5 linked regions of the Ovis aries genome follow. The main gene of each other region encodes a partner of the protein of the gene in region 2 in a complex. Links are inferred from orthologs where the notes say so. Each region holds a gene or a part of one and is shown on either strand. Other genes may lie near its edges. The genes, in order: BMPR1A, BMP2, HJV, RGMA and RGMB.

What was found.
Region 1: the proteins of BMP2 (region 2) and BMPR1A are in contact, whole or in part, in a crystal structure (PDB 2QJ9), measured with the Homo sapiens proteins. The link is inferred for Ovis aries from reciprocal best matches to the Homo sapiens genes BMP2 and BMPR1A. Residues at the interface, in NP_001191.1 of Homo sapiens: Lys297, Pro330, Phe331, Pro332, Leu333, Ala334, Asp335, His336, Ser339, Asn341, Ile344, Val345, Leu348, Asn350, Ser351, Val352, Asn353, Ser354; in NP_001393490.1 of Homo sapiens: His66, Cys67, Pro68, Asp69, Ile77, Thr78, Asn79, Phe83, Ile85, Cys100, Met101, Lys102, Glu104, Gly105, Phe108, Gln109, Asp112, Arg120, Ile122.
Region 3: the proteins of BMP2 (region 2) and HJV are in contact, whole or in part, in a crystal structure (PDB 4UI1), measured with the Homo sapiens proteins. The link is inferred for Ovis aries from reciprocal best matches to the Homo sapiens genes BMP2 and HJV. Residues at the interface, in NP_001191.1 of Homo sapiens: Phe331, Pro332, Ala334, Asp335, Leu337, Asn341, Ile344, Val345, Leu348, Ser351, Val352; in NP_001366281.1 of Homo sapiens: Leu40, Asn43, Tyr46, Val47, Tyr86, Leu101, Ala102, Ser105, Ala106, His108, Gly109, Ile110, Asp112, Leu113.
Region 4: the proteins of BMP2 (region 2) and RGMA are in contact, whole or in part, in a crystal structure (PDB 4UHY), measured with the Homo sapiens proteins. The link is inferred for Ovis aries from reciprocal best matches to the Homo sapiens genes BMP2 and RGMA. Residues at the interface, in NP_001191.1 of Homo sapiens: Val308, Gly309, Trp310, Asp312, Trp313, Met371, Tyr373, Leu374, Asp375, Glu376, Lys383, Tyr385, Met388; in NP_064596.2 of Homo sapiens: Arg91, Arg94, Gly95, Leu97, His100, Ser101, His104.
Region 5: the proteins of BMP2 (region 2) and RGMB are in contact, whole or in part, in a crystal structure (PDB 4UI2), measured with the Homo sapiens proteins. The link is inferred for Ovis aries from reciprocal best matches to the Homo sapiens genes BMP2 and RGMB. Residues at the interface, in NP_001191.1 of Homo sapiens: Val308, Gly309, Trp310, Trp313, Met371, Tyr373, Leu374, Asp375, Glu376, Tyr385, Met388; in NP_001353437.1 of Homo sapiens: Lys97, Arg100, Gly101, Leu103, His106, Ser107, Leu110.

The regions. Positions count from the first base shown.
Region 1 is NC_056078.1:40,560,215-40,563,946, reverse strand, and holds part of BMPR1A (bone morphogenetic protein receptor type-1A precursor), read right to left. Parts: intron 197-3,732; coding exon 52-196; intron 1-51. UniProt on the Homo sapiens protein: On ligand binding, forms a receptor complex consisting of two type II and two type I transmembrane serine/threonine kinases.
Region 2 is NC_056066.1:48,875,797-48,880,123, reverse strand, and holds the start of BMP2 (bone morphogenetic protein 2), read right to left. Parts: upstream 2,811-4,327; 5' UTR 1,664-2,810; intron 480-1,663; 5' UTR 473-479; coding exon 130-472; intron 1-129. UniProt on the Homo sapiens protein: Growth factor of the TGF-beta superfamily that plays essential roles in many developmental processes, including cardiogenesis, neurogenesis, and osteogenesis. Induces cartilage and bone formation.
Region 3 is NC_056054.1:99,328,250-99,332,428, forward strand, and holds the start of HJV (hemojuvelin), read right to left. Parts: upstream 2,869-4,179; 5' UTR 2,738-2,868; intron 1,467-2,737; 5' UTR 1,359-1,466; coding exon 1,262-1,358; intron 850-1,261; coding exon 287-849; intron 1-286. UniProt on the Homo sapiens protein: Acts as a bone morphogenetic protein (BMP) coreceptor. Through enhancement of BMP signaling regulates hepcidin (HAMP) expression and regulates iron homeostasis.
Region 4 is NC_056071.1:13,390,529-13,394,828, reverse strand, and holds the start of RGMA (repulsive guidance molecule A), read right to left. Parts: upstream 2,997-4,300; 5' UTR 2,727-2,996; coding exon 2,713-2,726; intron 1-2,712.
Region 5 is NC_056058.1:95,599,791-95,603,522, forward strand, and holds part of RGMB (repulsive guidance molecule B), read left to right. Parts: intron 1-2,372; coding exon 2,373-2,659; intron 2,660-3,732. UniProt on the Homo sapiens protein: Member of the repulsive guidance molecule (RGM) family that contributes to the patterning of the developing nervous system. Acts as a bone morphogenetic protein (BMP) coreceptor that potentiates BMP signaling. Promotes neuronal adhesion.

The sequences.
Region 1 (3,732 bases), on a different chromosome or scaffold from region 2:
ATACATTCTGCATCAGTACACCGTTCATGCTCACATGACATTCCAGCTTACCAATAAGGGTAGTCCAGATCCACTACCAGAACTCTGTGACTGGTCAATAAGGTCTTTTAATGATTCTCCAACTGGAATAAATGCTTCATCTTGTTCCAGATCACGATTGTAACGGCGTCTGCTTGAGATGCTCTTGCAATAATGTCTTTTATTTTAAAAGAGCAGAAGATAACTATATTAAAATTCTAAAACAATAAAATTCTAAGGTAAGAAAAATCTCGAGACTGTTGACATTATCATCATTCCTTCATCACATGGGTTCATAACCAAATTAGTCTTATCATAGAATAATATATTCTCTGTTAAAATAATGTCCAAAGATGGAGTTTCTGAAATAGAGAGCTATTTACTACCTTAAAATGGAAAGATGTCCATGGTACGTTGGCAAGTGAAAAAAACCGATTAAAAACCAGCATGTAAAGTCTCACCCTCACTATAAACAGTTTAGAATTATATGCATCTATACTTCTCTGAAAGGATCAGAAAGGATATATAGCAGTTGTAAATAATAGTTATTGCTGGGGATGTAAGAATATCCATTCTTTGCTTTACATATGTTTTTTCATTTGAATTCATAAACGTAGTTTTACATCATAATGAACAATAAATATACTACCATTTTTAAAAAGGGAAAAGGAGTTTACGGAAGAGAAGTCAAACAAGTTCATTCTGATATTTTTAAAGGTTTTTGAAAAAAACTTTAAATTATGAGATGTTTCAAACATTTAAACAGTAGAGATTAATTTAATTAGCACCCATGTGTAAACCATTTAAATTTAATAAATATTAAGCTATAATTTTTTGATATATTTTAAATAAACATTAAAATATTTGAAATTTCCCTCATAATTTCATTTTCTTCTTTTAATCCTAAGAGACAAACACTGTCTTGAAGGTGGCTATAGCCTTCCTATTTATGTATTTATACCTTTACCATAAAAAGTATATATTCACACACAAATTTTTTTCTCTGGATACTAATTTCTATAAATGGCATATGTTGTATTAATATTTTACATCTTGTATAAGAAATTTCTTATGTATTACCTATTTATCCATGTTGATACATGTTAAAAAAAAAAACAGCTCATTTCTATTGATGTTCAGTGTGTCAGGCACTGTTCTGTGACTTACTTCAACTTTATTAAACTCCTAAGAGATAAGTTGTAGTGTTTCCTTTTTACAAAAGAGGAAACCATAGGCCCAGGGCTCACCATTTGCCCCAAGTCAGACAGCTGACTAATTATTCTCCAATGCTGAGGCAAGACCCTTCTGAGTGCTATAAACAGAGCCCCGTGAATTGTGAGGTTTTCAGGTCACATAGCTGGTGGGAAGAGACACTGTTCACGGCCTTGTGTGAGCACTGAATATCGATCCTTTGACCTTTTCAGGCAGTCTTTCTCAGCCTTGGGGGTTTGCTCACTTGAAATCACTGACTAAGATCAGCTGAATATTCTATGGGGCCATTCTGAAGACGTCCACAGAGTTCTTCCTCTATGAAAACTCTCTCCTTTCCAGCACTCTGCACCTATGAACCATAGCTGCTGCTCTCTCCTCAGACTCTCAGCTGTATCTCCTCGACTCAGAGTGCCTGCTGGGTTCTGCGTGAGTCATTCCTGTGTCCCGCAGTCAGGAACTCTTCTCAGGGAGTAAGCTGGGCAATAGCAAGACTCACCTCATCTGCTTCCTGTTTCTCAGGGGTCAGTGTCCTTCACGGCCTGACCGGCAGCTCTTAATACGTGAATGGGGCTTACTGATTACAGGTTTCACTCTGATAATCTGCTGGGGCCATTTCACTGGGCTTACTGGAGGCAGAATATTTAGGTCTTTTTTTCTTGGGCCAGATGGTTGTTCCCTAAGAATAATCTTCTTATACATTATCTAGAGGGAACAAGCTTGGCTAGCACGGTTCTGGACGGCTGAGGGGCCCACAAATTAGTATGTAAATATTCACTTTACCTCCTTATTTTCACTATACCATTTATCTCACCCTCAGTAACGGGACACCATAGATGGGAACATTTTTGCTCTTTCCCCGAGACAACACTTCTAGCCTTTTGCTCAGGATCAAAGTCACATGATCATTCAGAATAAGAACAGGGATCTCAACATCAGTGGTTATCTGGCAACCAAAATGGCCCACAAAATTTCTCACCTCCTGGTACACCTGTCCTTGTTTAATTCCCTTCCAGAAAGCACCAGGGCTGACCTGGGTGACCAGTAAGATATGGATGGCAGAAGAGATGGTGTGACTTCTGAGTCTAGATCACATACAGCGCCCATCTTTCACCTTGGTCTCTGGACCATTCACTCTGCACGGGAAGCCAGGCTTCCTGCTGTGAGTAAGCTCATGCAGGCCGCTCCGTAGAGAGGTTCATATCGGAGGGACTAAGATCTCCCTGGAAGTGAGCCCTGGAAGTGAGCTGCCTTGGAAGAGGATCTACCAGTTCCAGCCAAGCTTCCAGGTGAGTCCAGCATCTGCTGACATCTTCCTGAAGGTCACGAAAGATCCCGAGCTGCCCAGGCAGGTCACTCCTGAAGTCCTGACCCACAGAAATGGTGAGCGGTAATAGCCACTGTTTCAGATCACTAAATCTGGGAGTGATTTCTTAACACAGGATTGCACAACCAACACAGCACCTGACCTTCTAAAAACAGACTTTCAGGCCACCCTCTCAGTTTCCCTGCCACCCTCGGCTTAACTTCCAGAGGTGGCTAGTACTGCCAATTCGTGAACTTCTTGGGGGAATTTTGTAGTACAAATCGGTTGCTGTTTGTCTTTCTCAATTTCTAGCCTGGGATTCAGATTTTCTAGGTCTATACTCATCCATAAGTTTCCCAGATTCCACAGCTTTTTGCTGTCATCTTGTCTCCCTGTTCTGGCTGAACAAAACATTTTAAAACTCTTTATTGCCATTTTAGTGGAAGCAACAAAAGTAGAAAAGGATGCTCTATCTAAAAGACCTACTATCAAACATGTGAATCTCTGCCAGTATAACAGGTAAAAAATAAAACCTCAGTATGATTTTAACATATTTTTCATATTTTGAGTATTCTTGAGTCATCTTTTTCTTTTAAGAGCCATATGTATTTCTATTTAAACAAACCATAAGTTCATTTTTTGGTAATTACTGAATTGATTTTTTTTATTTTCGATTTATAGAAGCTCTTTATATTTAAGAAATTAGCTCTTTGTAATATAAGCAGGGGATATTTTTCACTGTTAGACTGTCTTCTGACTATTTATAGTGGTTTCTACCACATAGTAAAGTTTTATTTTTATGTAGTTGACACCATCAATCTTTCCTTTTTTAATTTTAAGGTGTTTTGTGGTTTTTTTTGGCTAGTAAGTTTTGTGTCAGATTCAGATTATTTTTAAAAACTATTCCAAGGTTTGTTCTAGTATTTAAGCATTTCACTTTATATATGTAAATATATATGTATATATACATGAATTATATATCTACATGGCTAAATCTGGCTAAAACTTATTTCAATGTACAAAACTGACTCAGCTTCATTTTTCTCCATTTTTCTCAGCTGCTGCTGAGTCACTTCAGTCGTGTCCGACTCTGTGCGACCCCATAGATGGCAGCCCACCAGGCTCCCCCATCCCTGGGATTCTCCAGGCAAGAGTACTGGAGAGGGGTGCCATTGCTATCTACTCCCAAATCCATTTAC
Region 2 (4,327 bases):
GGGAAATGTCTGCAGCGCCCGGGCCAAGCTGCCCTGCCAGGGATGCCTGCAGTCTGCCCACGGCGGGGCGCTTTGCCGTACGACTCCCCGCCCCCGTCTCCGCCCCCAAGCTCCGGCCCCGCGCCTCACCTTCGTGGTGAAAGCTGCGCACTGTGTTGGCGAGGCTGGCTGCCCTCTCCAGCCGGTGGTCCGGGGCGGGCGCACCGGGTTGGCCCGAGTGCTGGCGGTACAAGTCCAGCATGTAGGGGGGCACCACGGCGTCCCTGCTGGGGGTGGGTCTCTGCTTCAGGCCGAACATGCTGAGCAGCCGCAACTCGAACTCGCTCAGGACTTCGTCCGAAGGCTGGGATGAGGAGCGGCCAGCAGACGCCGCGAACTTCCTCCGGCCCAGCTCGGGAATGAGGCCGGCCGCGCCGCCCAGGAGGACCTGGGGAAGCAGCAACGCTAGAAGACAGCGGGTCCCGGCCACCATGGTCGACCTGCGGACAGGGCCGACATTAGTCACGGAGTTTCCCGCCCAGCCCTCACCCCTTCCGCCCCCGCGGGCTCCCGCTCCGTCCATTTGCCTCCTCCTCCAGGGTGCCCACCTGGCTGACAACACTCGCGGGGATACTTAAGAGGAGCTGAAGCTCAAACGTTTGGGAGAATGGAAAAACACCTAGTTCCTGAGCCAGATGGGTTTTCCCCGCTCCCATCCCATTCTCAACCCGTCAAGATTTGCCCCCCACCCCACCCAACCCCACCCCACCCCACGCTGCGTCAGTGACTGTCACTTTTTTTTTTTTTTTTCCTGCGACACTCACGCTGACAACTGTATAGGGAACCTGGGAAAACCACCGCTTAGTCTCACATTCCTCCGTACCCTAACCTAACCCAAACACACAGCGCTCACTTGCATATAAACACTCACAAATGGTGCATGTGACTTCCTTACAGGCACTGTATAGAACTTCCTGATACACACAGGGTCTGTAACTTCCAGAGCCAGTAAACTCAAGGACACAACTTCCGAAATCACTCGCAACCTGTGACCCGAACCTAACCTCAGAAATGTCAGGGCAGGCTACTCCATCCCCCCTCCCCTCGCCCCCTCCTATGCAGTAAATATACACAAGTATCTTCCTATTAGGTAGATGGCTAATATCTATTAATTCACGTGTCAGTTCAAGGTGGCACGAAATAACTGCCCCCCCTTGCATTCCTGGTAAAAAAGAAAACAAAACAACAACAACAACAAAAACCCGAGAGAATCCCAGCGTATAATATTTTCCTAAATGGGACGCGGCTCTGAGTAGAGAGAGTTCTCCGGGAGAAACTTGAAGTTAAAACGGCAGGACGTATAGGTTGGCAGCTAACGGGTGAAATCCACGGGCCACCCTCTAGAAGGGACTTCTTTGACTTAAAAAAAAAAAAAAAAATCATCCATGTGTTAACAGCCCTAATAAAATCCCGAAGAGAGGGAGGGAGGAGGGGCGGAAGAGTGCGAGCCAGGAGGGCAAAGCCTAAGGTCGCCAGGGGCGGTAGGATGTGGGTATCCCCTCAGCGGCTCGGTGCACGTGGACCTGTTCTGTTTACGTCCCGCCAGGCCTGGCCCCGGGAGGGGCTCAGCTGCTGCGGCCGCGGGAGACCCGCGCCCACCCCCAGCCCCGGCCCACGTTGTCACCTTTAGGAGACCGCAGACCGTCTAAGAAGCACGCGGGGACACGTCCATTGAAAGAGTCTCCACATGGAAAAAGCTCTGGCTGAAGGACCTGGCGCGGGGACCGGGTTCCCTTCCTTCGCCTCTTCCTTCTCCCGGGTGCCGGCCAGGCAGTCCCTCCCAGCACGCAGGGAACGGCGTCTCGGGTAGGGCCCGGCGGAGAAGTGGCAGGGGCGGCGGGGTTCGCAGGCGGTGAGGCTGGTCCGCTGGGGCAGAGGCACCGGGGCGAAGTGGAGAGCGCAAGTTATTTTCCCTGCAAGTTCAAGAAGTCTCCAGCCAAGTGCTGACACACAACAACAGCGGGCAGGGGGAGGAGTGCAGAGCAGGGAAGGGAAGGGAGAAAGGAAAAGCTGGTGCTGTCGTCGTCCTTAGGAACCAGCGCCCGCGGGACGCGTGGCCCCGCGCCGGGCCGGCTCCGGGACTCTCGGGACGAGGGTTGGGCGCTCGGCGCTAACTCCGCCGCGGCCCATGGCTCGGGCCAGCCATCCTGGGCGACGCCGGGTCCGGGGAAGGGCGCAGCGGCGATCTCCGTGCCAGGCGAGTTGCCCCCCCGCATCACTCTGCCTTCCTCCAGCGCACCCCCATTAGCGCTAGCCAGTTGAAACCACCGCGGCTCCGGCGCTCCGGCGTCCTCGGGCACATTCTCCGGCGAGTCGAGCCGAGTATCGGGCCGCCGAGGCGGGTGGCTGCACTCTCTCCTCGGTCTCTTCGCCCCCAGGCCAAGCCACTGTACCCTTTGTGGCCAGCCTGGGGTCCGATCACACCTCGGTCGGCGCGTTCCAGGTCCCCGAGCTCCGGTGGGAGGTGGTCGGCATCGCGGCGCTCGGGCTCAGCGCGCCGGTCTTCGGCTCCGGCGCGGCCCGGTCAGCCGAGGCCACGGCGCAGCGGCGCGCACTGCCGGGCGCTCTAACCCGCGCGGGGTCTGCGGGCTCGGGTGCCTCTGAGTCCCCAGTAATCCGCGAGGCGCTCGCCCCGAGCTAGTTCGGTGGGCGGCGGAGCCTGCGGCGGCTGATGTCTGGCGGCAGCTGCCAATCTCGGGTAGGGTGTGGGAAGAAGAGCGGCGGGCGCAGCGCGAGCCGGGCGCAGCGCGGCGCGGCGGGGCGAGGACTCTGGCGGCGACGGCGGCGGTGGCGGCGCCGTGGCGCGGCGCTCGCGGCTTTTAAAGGGGACGCCGCCTGCCGTCTCCCTCCCGGCCCAGGCCGAACACCCTCCCCCTCGGTGGCGCGGCTCGCCGGGGATCCCCGAGCGGGCGGGAGCAGTGTGCAGGGGTGTGGACGGCTAGCCGGGCAGCCGGGGCAGCCGCGGTGGGGTGGGGCCGAGGGCGGGGATCCGCGGCCGCCGGGGGGGCGCTCGTGCCTCCAGCCCCTGCCCTCAAAGGGGAGATCCGTCGGAGCGCCTGGCCCTGGCTGGGACTACCAGGACGAAATCCCGACGAATGCCAGGTCGGACCTTATTTCCCCTCCTGGCCCGTTATTTAGCTTTCAGTTTGAAGATACTCCGTAATAGACGATTAGAGAAGAACTCAACCAAGTTTCAAAGCATCTTGGCATAGGCGTGGGGTACACTCTTCTGTGTTTTAACCGAGGTGAGAGGAGAATTAAAAGAAAACTAGAGATTGGATTTGCGTGTAACTTACACTTTAGCATTCACAGACATATGCATTCACATATGTAAATTTATTTATATAAATGCGCTCTTTTATTCCAATAAATATATGTGTAATACACAAATATACACGTGTGTGTCTATAAATATATCCGTATACGTAACTTTGTGCTACCAAAGCACATGTTTCTATAACTTTGTCTGTGTGAAATGGATTTCTTTCTGCTATTCGTGACATGAGCAACATGGAGAGTGTGTGTGTGTGTGTATGAAGAGAGGATGAGAGGGATTTTTTCTTTTTACTGTAGAAATCACTTCATGCCTTATATTTATCTCTCCTAGCTCAGGGGCAGGCCATTAGCAACTGCAGAGGAAGGTAAAATAATGGCACAGTGTGAGCCGAGGGGACGGAACAGCTCTGGTCTGAGACCTTAGAACCTTCTGCCCCACCCACTTCCACCAGATCCCAGCGGCAGGTCTGTGACATGTGGTCAAGTGACTTGTTTTCCTCAGCTGAGACAGTCCCCAAATCTGCTGTACCACAAGCCCCAAAGCCAAGGCTTTCTGTCCTTTCCAGTATCCCAGGATCGCCCATCCATCGCTCAACCAGTTTACCCAAACAATCCCAAAAGCCAAAAGCAGAAAAGTTTTGGAAAAGGCCAGATGGACAAAATCAAGCTCGCCTGCACAGAACCTTCAGCCTGTAGAGCAGAAAAAGTCTGAAGCAAGAGCTCATAGCAATCTATTATCCATGTGTATTATTTTTTCAGTTGGGAAGCTAAAATAATTGTAGGTTCCGCTCACGTAAATCGGATTAGCAACCCACAGAGGGGGAATTAGGCCCTAGCTGTTTCTGAAAGTATAAAGGTCAAATAAGGTATTTCTGAGGAAGCCTGCCTACCAGGAAAATAAATGAGGGGGGGGGGGGTACAAAATATTCAGGAACATGGTGCTTTTTTATTTTCCCCTGAAAATGAAACTCTATGAAAGCTGATTGCCACTCTGAATCTTTGGACACCAAAC
Region 3 (4,179 bases), on a different chromosome or scaffold from region 2:
TTGGGCTCAACTTCAGCTGCTCCCATAGGAGAAGGAAGTTTCCTTTCTGTAACTTCTCAACCCAGAGCTTCTCAACTTTCCTCTCCCCAGCTCTTTTCTGCATTGGAGTGAAATTCCCACGGAGGGAAAGTGATTTACAGGAGCAAGTGTTCGGTAGGAGGGAGTGATTCAAGATGTGAGAGTGGTTCAGGAGGAAAGGGAATAGAGCTGCATTGCTGAAAACTAGTAGGGTTGGCATGGGAGTGGAACCCTGGGGTGACCATGGAGGAGCAGTTGAGTCCCTGACCTTCCGGGTGGTGGTGGCGTTGGCCCCCAGTGCCACAGGGGAGCTGGTGGCCTGGACAAAGAGGAAGTCATTATCCAGCAAGGGCCAAGCTCCTTGGACACGGCACGTGTGAAAGTGGTGATGGAAGGTGCGCACGTGAGGGTCCCCGAAGGAGGCGCAGTGCAAGAAGCCTGGGGGTTGTCGGTGCAGCCGGGAAAACCGGCCTTCATAGTCACAGGGGTCCGGGGCTGGGGAGCCAGAGGCGCGGATCGGGCCTGCGCCCGGAAAGACGGGGCCTCGGGGTGGGGGAGGGGCCGTGGGGCCCTGGCGGGAGCAGTTGTGCTGAATCATCAGGTCTTCGATGCCGTGCACAGCAGAATGGAAGGCGAGGTCCCCGCGGCAGGTGCGGGCTGTGCGCCGAGTGCAGAGCGCGTAGGAGCGGAGGGCTCGGCAGAGACCGCTGGAGCCCACCCCTCCACCTCGGCCTCCTCCTCGAAGGGCTCCTGGTGAACCCCCACCTCTAAGGCTCAGAGTGGAAGATACATACTCAGCATTGCAGCGGAGGATCTTGCATTGAGAATAAGCTGAGGGCGGAAGGGAGAGAGGAGTGTGAGCTGGTCCCCGGATCCCCGCGCAACCTCAACCATAATTCTCCCAGGTCTCATGGGGGGATAGCAGCGGATCCTAAAACCCAACTGAGAGCCTCCCCCAATTCCCAGTCCCCAGCCGCCAGCCCCCAGCTTCCTAGTCTTGTCCTCATTCAGTCTTGCTAAAGATGGGTAAGCCCTGCTAGATCTCTCCCGCCTGTGGATCAAGGGCTTTCCCAGTGCCCTTTCCCAAGTTGAATGGTGAATAAAATATACCTATTTGAGAGTGGGGCGAGTGACTGGGACCCCTCAGCACCCATCTCATCTCATTCACCCAAGCTCACATGCCCACCCCTACATAGCAGCCTACCCCCTAGATCCCCCAAAGCCTTACCTAACCCTTCCTTACCATGTCCACAGAGGAGCAGCAGGAGAGTGAGAATGCTTAGAGTTGGGGGACTGCCATGGGGGGACCAGGGACTAGGGGACTGGCCTGGATCCCCCATACCTATCCAGCCAGGTCCCCCCAGGTTCCGGTTCTTTCCAGCTGATGACCCTCCTACCTAGTGAATTTTGACCGGACGTCCTGTAAGGGACTGAAAAAAGAAATGTGGCTGGGCATGGGGAAGAGAAGAGTTGAAGATTGTTCAGAATGATGTGAAGAGAATCTGGGAAGATCAAGAAAAGAATGAGCTAACTGGAGTTTAGGGGAAATGGGTCTCCCTGAACTAAACACGAGGCTGTTGAGCCTCTGTGCCCTGCTTTTGTGACCACTTTCAGGCCCCTTATGCAATACCCCTAGGTGGGGGTGGAAGAAAGGTTGAGTGGACTCGGAGGGCAGAGTCCACTGTATTGCCCCATTCTGAGCTATCAAACAGCAGGAATGTCAAAAAGAGGAACCATGTGGATAGATCAGATCTCAGTCATACCAGTGGGCTCCCCAACAGAATTAGGATCTGAAAATACATCAGAGACTACCGCTTATTCACCCTTCCCCATCAGGAGGGGACACCCTCCAGAGGTCATTCATTGATTTTCCTCCTTTGTGTCAGAATTTTCAGTAAGGAGGAGTAAGGGTGGGATACACATCCCATCTCTGGAATCAGTATTCAAATGAAAAGGGAACCAGTCTCTTTCATCTACTGTAGAGAGCTAAAATTATCCCTCTGTCTCATGGAACAATGGATGCAAACCAAGCATGCAAATCAATATTTGTTATGAGTCAACATTTCTTCTTCATGAGTCAACTTTTCTTCAAATCTGACTGAAGAACCACCCTTTCCATTGATCTTACCTTTCCATCGATCTTAACTTTGCAAGTTTGGAAGTCAGTCTTTTGATGAGGACAAGGCTTGGGGAGGGGCTAACTCCCTCTTGCCAAACTAGTCTCTCTGGAGTTAGGGATATGATTGAGGGAGAGTCATGCAGGAAGGAGAACAAGATGATGGGGCTAGAGTTGTAGGCAGAAATCATGTACAACAAGGAGTAAGCCTCACCCTCGGAAGCCCAATGTGAAGGGCACTGATAAATAGGAACAAGATAGAGGGTATCAGTGACTAATCATCTGAAGCTAAATTTGGCCTTGGTGAGAAAACCACAGAATAGGAGGTGTAGGAAACTTCTACTAAAGAAGGAGACTTCATCAGAAGTCTTGAGGTAATAGGAGGAGCCAGCTAAGACTCCCAGAGGAGAGATGGAGGTTTAAACTTCTAGTGGCCAGAGGCCAGAAAGCTTAAGACAGAAGGAGAAATGGAGACTGGGGCACCTTGGTATGGAAGAGATCCTAGATTTGCACCAGAGACATCCAAGTTTATGTCATAATTTTATGAGATTCTAACTTCAATTTAGAAGATTTTTAAAGGAATTGCAATTAATTTTGACTTACTGTTTCCAGAGGTCAAACATTAGTCTGCTATCCAATTCTCCAGCCATGACTGTCTACTGTATCAGTCAGCTCCAGCCAGGGGATCCCCCGTCTCTTTCTCCATGTCTCCCCTAGGTCCCCAGACAGGCTGCAGTCTCACTGAGGTCAGGGAACCAGAGAAGGTCTGGTGTGGGGGGAAGGGGGACTAGATGGCTGGCCGGAGTACTGGACAGCTGAGCGGGGGAGGGAGGTGGCTACTGAGTTGACTGTTTTAAAAATAGCTAAGTCCAAAATTCCAGGAGTGTTGATGGGGGTAGGGTGTTGGAGTGTTGGCGAGAAGGTGGGGAGGGTGGAGAGGGTAGGAGGATTAGAAAGAATATGGGGTATAGGGTGCCAAGTGGCAGAGAAGGGATAGGAATATGACCAGCAAATCAGTTATCCAGTTTGAGCTTACATGATTCTAGTCACTGCCTACTCCAAGCAGCCCTCCAGCACTGTCAATAATTTAAAAGCCCTCTGGCCTTTAAAAATTAGACTAATTTTTTAGTCTAGTTAGACTAGCCTTTAGACAGTTAGACAGTTGTATACCTTTAGCTCAGCACCCTCATCCTTGCCATACTGAATATTGCATTTAGTTTCTTCAGAACATATCTAGGAGATAGCTGACTTTAAATAAGGTCCATAGCAGAGGTAGTTCACAGCCCCTCCCCCATCTTTGTAGAGTATTTCAGAAGGACTTAAAAAGCCAGCTGTCTAGAGAAGAAATCTGAGCTCTGAGTGGTTTAGGATGAGTGTGTGTTTCAGTCTACCAGATCAGATCCTCGCAGCTGTCTATTCCCCAACGGCCTCCATTTTCATTACCTTATTTATATAGCAGCTCCTCTTTGCAGGTATACACACAAACACACAAGCTTCTGAGTTTCTGAGGGAGGAGGCTAACAAAGTCAACGAGGGAAAGAAGGAATGGGGATACAAGTTTTTGAAGGGGAGAGGAACTTGGAGAGATAAAGTGAGAGAAAAAGAGATTCAGAAAGATACTTTTGTGGAGTAACATAATCTTGTGACCTTTGAAGAGATTGCAACCAAAGAATTTAGCCACGTATTTTTGCAGCCATAGGCATCAGGGATCATCGTTTCTTAGTACTTGCCAAGTGAAATTAACACAAGGACTGATTTCAAATAGTGTCACTAAGGCACATGCACTAATTTGCTCTACATTTAATTCAGAATTCAGAAGTCCACAGAGTACTCTTCTCTTTTTTATACATACAGATCTGAAAATTTTTTTCTCTCTATCACATAAAGCCATATCACAAGGGTTTTTATTACAGAAATGTACAATGACTCCACCCAAACTATCCAAGTGATTTAAAAACAATAATTTGGCTGTGACATCCCAAGTGGTATATACTTTTAAGGACAAAAAGAAGTGCAAAGATATTTTAAGTAGTCATATTATTGGT
Region 4 (4,300 bases), on a different chromosome or scaffold from region 2:
CCTTTAAACTTGCAGAACCTTGGCTACACCTCTTCACCTCTCTAAGGCATCAGTTTTGGGAGGCGGAAACGCCAGCACCTCTTCCTGACCGCTTCCCTGGAAGCAGCGAGCATCACTGTGAGACTTGAAAGCCGGCCGCCCTGTCCCTGTGTTAGGAACGCTCTGTGCCTAATCATTTTGTTTCGCATCTCCTCACCTAAGGACTCCTCTATCTGGCCCCCATGGGCTGGTTTAAAAGCCAAGTCAAGGGGCGTGTGAGCTAGGGGCTTCTCATCCTCCACTGTTTATTATTACACACACTGGGGAAGGATGGAATCAGGCCTCAGAGAGGCTTGGAAGGAGAGAAAGCAGACAGAGGTTTCCTAGCGAAGGTCACAGAAGCCCTCTTTGAATAAGATGCCGGATTACGGCAAGACCCTTTTTGTCCTAAATCTAGTTATTAACTAAACACCTGCAAAGGGGGACACAGTTTGCAATAGCGTGGGGAGTGAGCGGAGAAGCCGCCTCTCATTTGGAATGTCTGTTCAGAGCATAAGTGCCTGTCTACCGCCTGAGAGGTAAAGGATGGGAGCAGGGTTATTGAAAAAAGGATGCTGGGGACCTCCCTCACCATCACCAGAGCTCAGATGCTCTCAAGGGGGGCAAGGACCCTCCCCACAAGAAGAGCACCACACTGCTCTATAAGGAACCGGCTGACCCTTCAGAACAGGGAGAGTCCAGCTCATTGCTAATATCATCTGGCCTGGAAGGTGGCAGCAAAAACCAGGCTCCGAGAGGCCGTGGAGCCCGCCTGGCTGTGTGGGTGCCCCACCCACAGCCTTTGTCCGCTCTGTTTGCCATCCAACAAAGTCTGCCCCAGTTGCTAATTGGGGATCACGTCTCTTATAAAGGAGGCCTGCTTGTTGCCTGCCCTGGGAGTGGAACAGCAGGAAGTCTCTGCACAAAAAAAAAAAAAAAAAAAAAAGCCATTTTTGTATATTATACCTCTCCTGGATGGATTTGTGCCAGACTCTTTTCCAGTTCTCCTTCAGCTGCCCTCCAGAGCACAGCCCATCTCTTTTCTAGGGGGTCAGGGCTCAAGACTCCCCTGACAAATCCCTCGTGTCTGTGATGCACAGGAAAAGGTCACCTTCCATGCACAGGTTGTGCCAATTTCTGGACGCGTGTCCAGAGAACAGGCGCAAGCTCACCGCTGGTAACATTCTAGGTCATGTTTGTGCTGTGTGTGCTCAGTGGCCAAGTCACGTCCCCGCTTTGCGACCCCACGTACTCTAGCCCGCCAGGCTCCTCCGTCCATGCAGTTGTCCAGGCAAGAATACTGGAGTGGTTGCCATTTCCTCCTCCAGGGGATCTTCCCCACCCAGGGATGGAACTCACGTCTCCTGCGTCTCCAGCATTGGCAGATGGATTCTTTACTATTGAGATACCCGGGAAGCCCTATGCTTGTGAGAGAGGACCCTAAAGCCAGAGGAGAAGGTGACGGATCTTCTCCAGGTGAAAGCCTGCCACTCAGTGCGACCTGCGATTCTGACCCATAAGCTGGGCGCGCGGAGCTCTGTCGTCGCTGCGCTTCAGCTCAGCCGGAAGGTAAATAAATACAGCGGGGAAAACTCGTCCCTGAGTTACCTCCTGCCTCCCAGAGAGACGCCCACTTTGAGTCTCCCACTTTGAGAACATCCAACTTCGAGGCCTAAAAGAAACGCGCGGCTCATCATTTCCGCTAGATGGCGCGATGTCCCCTAATCCATCCGCAAGACACCCGATTTATAAAAATAAATACAGTCCGACGCCTTCCGAAACCACATCACATAATAGCAGCTCTCAGGCTCCCATCAGGGAAAAAAAAAAAAAAGAAAAGAAAAGAAAAAAAAATCTAAATCTGGGGGAATTGACTCTACGTCCGAGCAAATCCAACGCAATCGCATTAACAGGCTGCAGTCAAGAATTGCACAGGCCCCCTCATCGGCCCTCCCCCTGGGTACACCTGTTTCCCTGCCCCGGTGCTTCCCCTGGGATGGGCCACGGCTCGAACCACGCGCGGAGCCTTCTCTGCTCGGAGCTCGCCGGGTCCACCTGTCCGCTTAGGACCACCAGGGCCCCCCGGGATCCTACCCCTTAAGCACTCAGCCCAAGCCCCTCATCTTCCTGCGCACCTGCCCTTCCAGGCAAGGGACAGCTCGGACCCGAGCCCACACGGAGCGCAGCGTCTACGGCCCCGGGGCCGGCGCTCGAGCCGCGGCTCTAACTAGGTAGCCTGGCGCAGGGCAGGGGGACGCGGCTCGGGCGAGTCCGGCCGGTGAAAGCTCACGGCGGGACGGCCGGGTGGCCCGCTCGGTCCCAGGCCCCGCGGGCCGATCGGAAGGGCCGCCCGAGGAGGAGGTGGCCGCGCGGGAGAAACGGAGCTCCCAGCACGCGCAAGTGGTACAGACGGTCGCCGGGTGTGCCCAACCGCGCGCGCTGCGGGCAGCCGGGGGAGAGCATTTTAGGGGAAAAAAAAGAACAAATACCAAACCACAAAAACTTTACTGCTGCCAAGAGCTCAAGCGATCGAGGCGCAGCAAAGCTCCAAATCTGGGCAAGATGAAAGCAAGATGAGGCGCTGGGTGGTTTGGCGGGGGGGTACCAAAGCGGTGCGGTGGCCCGGGCAAGTGGCGGCGGCGGCGCCTCGGGGCTGTCAGAGCCGGGTCGGTCAGGCTCCCGGCGCGCGCTTACCTTGGCGGCTGCATGAGCCCCTGCAGCCCGCGGGGGGTGGCGCTGGCCGGGCGGCGGGAGAAGAGGGGGTGCCTGGGCGCCGCTCTCGGCCTCGGGGCAAGGTGGGAGGGGCTCGGCAGGCGCTGGTCCCCGCCACCCCGGCCGGCTCAGCAGCGGCCCGGGGCGCGCCGCTTGCTCCCGGGCTGCATGCCTGCGAGCGCCTGGAGGAGCCGGCCCGAGAGCGAACGGCGAGTGCTTCCCCAGCCCAGAGGCTCGGAGGCGCAGCCGGCGCTCGGGAGACGACTGCCGAGTCGGGCTGCTCGGGCCAGCCCCCTCCCTCGCCCGGCCCCCGCCCGCCGCCGCCGCCGAGCGCTCGGCGTCGCGAGGTTCGTTTGCGCGCGGAGGGGAGGGGGCGGGCCGGGCGCCCGGGGCGCGGGCGGGGGGCGAGGCGGGCGGGGCCCGCGGGGAGGGGGGCGGGAGAGGAGGCGGCGGTGCGGACTCGGATTGCCCTGCCCTCCGCGGCCGCACCTTCCCGCATCAGCACCGGTTGAGGGGTGGGCTGGGAGTGCGCACGCTGCAAATCGAGACTTCCCTAAACCGCGCCCGGGTCAGGGGGGCGCGGGGGACAAGTGCGGCGACCCTCGAGGCGCCTCCAACTTTCCTAATGTCCCGCTGGGATGCCCTGGAGAGCACGTTTCCATCATCCTTTCCAAGGTGGTCCAAGGGTCAGGGACCGGGGCGGGGTCGGGAGCAGTTGCTCTGAGGTTTCTGGAATAGACCTTCGCTTCCAGGAGAAACGCCGCTGCTTTCTCCAGAGACACACGTTAGTTGCAGACTGAGATGTTTGTTTTAAGACTCTTCTGTTGGAAAACTAACACACGTATGTTAAATGTGTAGTGCACGAATACGTTGCTGCGTACAAAGCTGAGCCATATCTAGAGAATAAAGACGACCGCGCCACGTCCCCTCCACCTTGCAGCCGCTCCCCAGCGGTCACCTCGGGTCGGGTGTGCTCCGCTGCGGGTCTTTCTACTCCTTGCTCTGCCCTTTTACCCGCACACGCGCGGATTGCAAGTGGATTCTCACGGGCTTTTCAAAAGAAATGTTTTACCGCGCGGCGCACGCACACACTGGCGAGAACACGGCCACTTGAGCTGTGATAAATTCCCCAGAGGCGTGCAGAATCCGGAGAAAGATCTGGATCCCTGCAGCGACACACAAGGAGCCACCCCATCGCCCCGCAAAATCTGAAACTGCAGCTGGGCCCTGAAGTCAGCCTGAGCACACAGCTCACGCCCCTGTTAGCGTTGCGCGGCTGGAGAAATTGGCCAGCGCATTTCAGACGGGGTGATGCCCTTGGCGTTTTTGTTGTTTTTTTTTTTAACAGAAAACAAGCTGTCTTTGGATTTGGATGTGATGAGACCTCTGGATTTGCAAAATAAAAAGGTATTATCTACATTAAAACGTGATCGTTGTTTATGCTTGTGGTCCTGAGGGATGTGGTTTGAACTCTACATTCTGTGTTTTACTGGCATTGAGACAGTCTATAGCTGGGATATAAATAAAATCCATGTGATTTAGCAGGAAGAGATTGGGTATTGGGATCGCT
Region 5 (3,732 bases), on a different chromosome or scaffold from region 2:
TTGCAAGAAAATCAATTTGGGGCTTAACAGTATTTACTTCACAGTATCACCTAAAAATCATATCCCATAACTCCCCCCAAAAAGTCATTTCTCCGGGCAACTCTGAAGCTACTATTAAGCATATTATGGATACACACAAGACTTGGGTTATATCGTGGGCAGTGAAAGGTATGTTTACCACTTGAGTCATCATAGTATGTAATAAGTAAGTAATGAAAAGTTGCAGTAAAAATAGATAGGCATCCTTCATTAGGGAGCTAGTGGTTTGTATAATTCAGAAGGTGTGTAATGAGGAAGCTGGAGTGATGGAGGGCTTGCCCTCAATTATCCTGGTCCATTGACTGGCACTTTTTAACATGTGGAATACTAACATGTCCGTGGTTGATACGAAAATTCCTAAATTAGGGATTGTGAGTAATGTAGCAAGCAGAGTTGCAGACTGCGACTTGGATATAAGTTCATTTAAAATGGCAGCCCATTGCCGTTTGCGGTGCTGCTGTGCTGTGCCAAGTCGCTCAGTCATGTCGGACTCTTTGCGACCCTACGGACGGTAGCCCTGTCCAGGGGATTCTCCAGGCAAGAACGCTGGAGTGTTGGAGAAAGGCAAAGACGAGGACAGTATGAAGTGGCTCCTGGCCTTTGAGGCCATTCTTGAGATTAGATACCACTTCACACTTGCTGATAACAAATTGGAACCTATCATCGACCTCATAAAACATGCTTTCCTGTATCTCTGGAAGTCTCCTTTCCCGCCAGCAATTGGTTTCCCTCTCATTTTTGCAACCATTCCATCGCAAAAGTAGAAACGGACCTGCTATTGAATTAATTTGCTAATAGACGATGAACATTTGTGGAAAAGCCACGGAGCAACAACAGATCATGGTATAAAATTACACTGCAATAAAACTCACTATCCTCATGAATCTAACTACAGTATAACAGAACACGTGGACGTCCTCCCTACTCTCAGAACCCCCTCCCCAACTGCTTTCAGGAAGGGAAAAATGTCAGAGTGACGGGAACACCAGCTGCCCGCGAACTCCACCAGGGAGCTGGTGGCTACCTTCCCAGGCCATCCGATTCGTTCCGGACCACGGGTCACATTCGCATTTCCAACGCGACTGGCTTTACCAAAAGTCCCGAATGGGCTCAGAAGGCGGTGGCTTTACTGGAAAAAAAAAAAAAAAAAGGCTCATTTGAAAACACCCTGATGCTGGGAAAGATTGAAGGTGGGAGAAGAAGGGGCCGACACAGGATGAGATGGTTGGATGGCATCACCGACTCAATGGACATGGGTTTGAGTAAACTCCGGGAGCTGGTGATTGACAGGGAAGCCTGGCGTGCTGCGGTCCACGGGGTCGCAAAGAGTCGGACACGACTGAGCGACTGAACTGAACGGAACTTACTTAAAAAAAAAAAAAAAGTCCGCAGCGGGCTCAGAACGCGGCTCAGCAGATGCGATTGGCGTCGAAGGGACCTGCCGCCGGGCGCTAAGCATAAAGGCGCCCGTTTCCTCCGAGGAGCCAGGGCTGTAGGGCAGGGACAGGGTCGGGGGCTGGTGATCTAAATAAAAGCGTTACGGAGAGGGACATTGAACCCGATCACTTTCCTTCTCGGAAAGGCCAAAGGCTGGCTCCTTTGTAACGACGGAGCTGCCGTCGCCCGTCTCCACTGGGCGCGGGGCGGCAGTACATTGCAGGAGAGGGTGGAGGGGAGCGTGGAGGCCGCAGCCAGCAATAGGGAGGCTGGGCCGCAGCGCCGCCGACCCGACCGGCGGCGGGCAGGACGCGGAACTCGAATCACCCCGGGGAGGCTGGGAGCAGGGGGCGGGGGCCCGGAGGGGTGGGGCCGGAGGGCGGGGCGGGCGCTTGGGGCCCTATGAGTGGCCGACTGGGTCCACAGCTCCCGCCTCTCGGCCAATGGAGTTAGAGGGGGCGGGGAGGGGCGGGGCGGAGCCGGCGTGGATTGGCGGGGCGTTGGGAGGGGCGGGGCGGCAGTGCGGGGCTGAGATTGATCGAGCGCGGGGGCCCCCGCGGCACAGAGTGATCGCGGCAGCCGGCGGCTGCGGGCTGCCGCTCTGGGCTCCGTCCGGTGCGTTTCCGCGCCCGCCGAGCCCACGCTGGACCAGGGACGCCCCGCGCGCGCGCTGCCGGCCGGGCTTCGCACTCGCTCACCGTCTTTGTGTCTTTTCCTTCCCCGCCCTCCGCTCTCTCCTCCCGCCCTCCGCCCGCTCGCCCGCCGACTCCGGCCGCCACGATGCCTCCGCTCCCCGCGGCCGACGCCGCCGACGCGCTCCGCCCGCGGCGCCCGGCTCGCTTCTGCTGCTCCTGCGGCGGCGGCGGCGGCGGCCCGCGTCCGACGCGGGGCTGAAGGAGGAAGAAGAGGAAGCGGGGCGCTCCCTCCGGCCCATGCCGCCGCCCCGGCCCGGGACCCGCCACGGCCCCCGCGCCGCCGCCCTCGCCGGAGCCCACGAGAGCTGCATGGACGGGCATGGGCTTGAGAGCAGCATCGCCCTCCTGCGCCGCCGCCGCCCCAGCCTCCGCCGCCGCTGCCGCCGGGGCTGAGCCGCGCCGCCGCCCCCGCCGCCGCCCCGGGCTCGGCCCGCCGCCCCTGGCGCTGCTGCTGCTGTTGCTGCTCAGCCTTGGGCTGCTTCATGCAGGTACGGGGGGCGCGCGCGCGGGTTGGGGGTGGGGAGCCGCCTGTAGGGCCAGGGGGGCTGGGTTCCCCTATCCCCCTACTCCCGGGGGGGCAGAAGGCGCTGGCCGGGGCAGGAAAGGCCTCCCCAGCTCCTGACCCGCACCGTGGCCGGCTGGCGGCGCGGCGGCAGGAACACACCCGCCAACCGAGCGGCGCGCCCAGGGCACACGGGAGCGGCCTTTCGCCCTGCCTCCCGCCCCCCGAGACAAACGTTCCGGATGCTCTATTGCTCTCTGCATGGGTGTTTTACTGAAAGTCAGGCTGGGATCAGGTTTACGCCGCCGCCTCCTAGGCTGAGGAGACGAGGAGCCTGGTTGCTGCTGCTGCCCTGGAGTTGGGGGTGGCGTCGAGGCGAAGAAATGGCACCCGATGGGAAGATAATTCTACCCTTTTGAAAACCTGGGGGTTCATCTCGAAGTCACTTAAAACTTCTTTAAACTGAGATCGTTTTCGTATTTGCGAAAGCCCCTTTTAATTTCAGCTTTCACCTCCTGTTTGGGAAAACTTCGTGCTTTGTGGCTAGCCGCGTGTTTTGGGGCGTTCCAGGAGAGTGTGACCGATCTCTTGCCTTCGGGAACTTCCCCGGTGGAAGCAGCAGTGAGGAATCCGTTCTTAGCGAAGTAAAACCTTTTTGTCTTAGCGACGATGAGCCTTCTAGCTTGTTTTGCCTGTTTTTCTTTTTAAGATCTTTTCATGAACACAATGATACATGTCAGTTATATCTCAAGAAAGCTGGGGGTGGGGAGGGGGGGAATCTAGAACGCCCTTTACAAATAGGTACCATTCCTAGCAGTATATCTAGACAAAAAGTTTTTTCATTGCCAAATTGAAAAAGAATCTATCTTTTAGTTTGAGAGCACTTAGAGCATTAGATACGTTATCCTTTGAGATCTTTTTGTCCTGTATTTGTGGGACAGCAATCACCACACTCTGATCTGGAGAATACTGAACTGTAATGCCACCCAGCTGTGCCAGAGTTAATTTTTATTTATTTATTAAGTCATACCAGCAGTGTTAAAAATCCGGGAGGTCTTT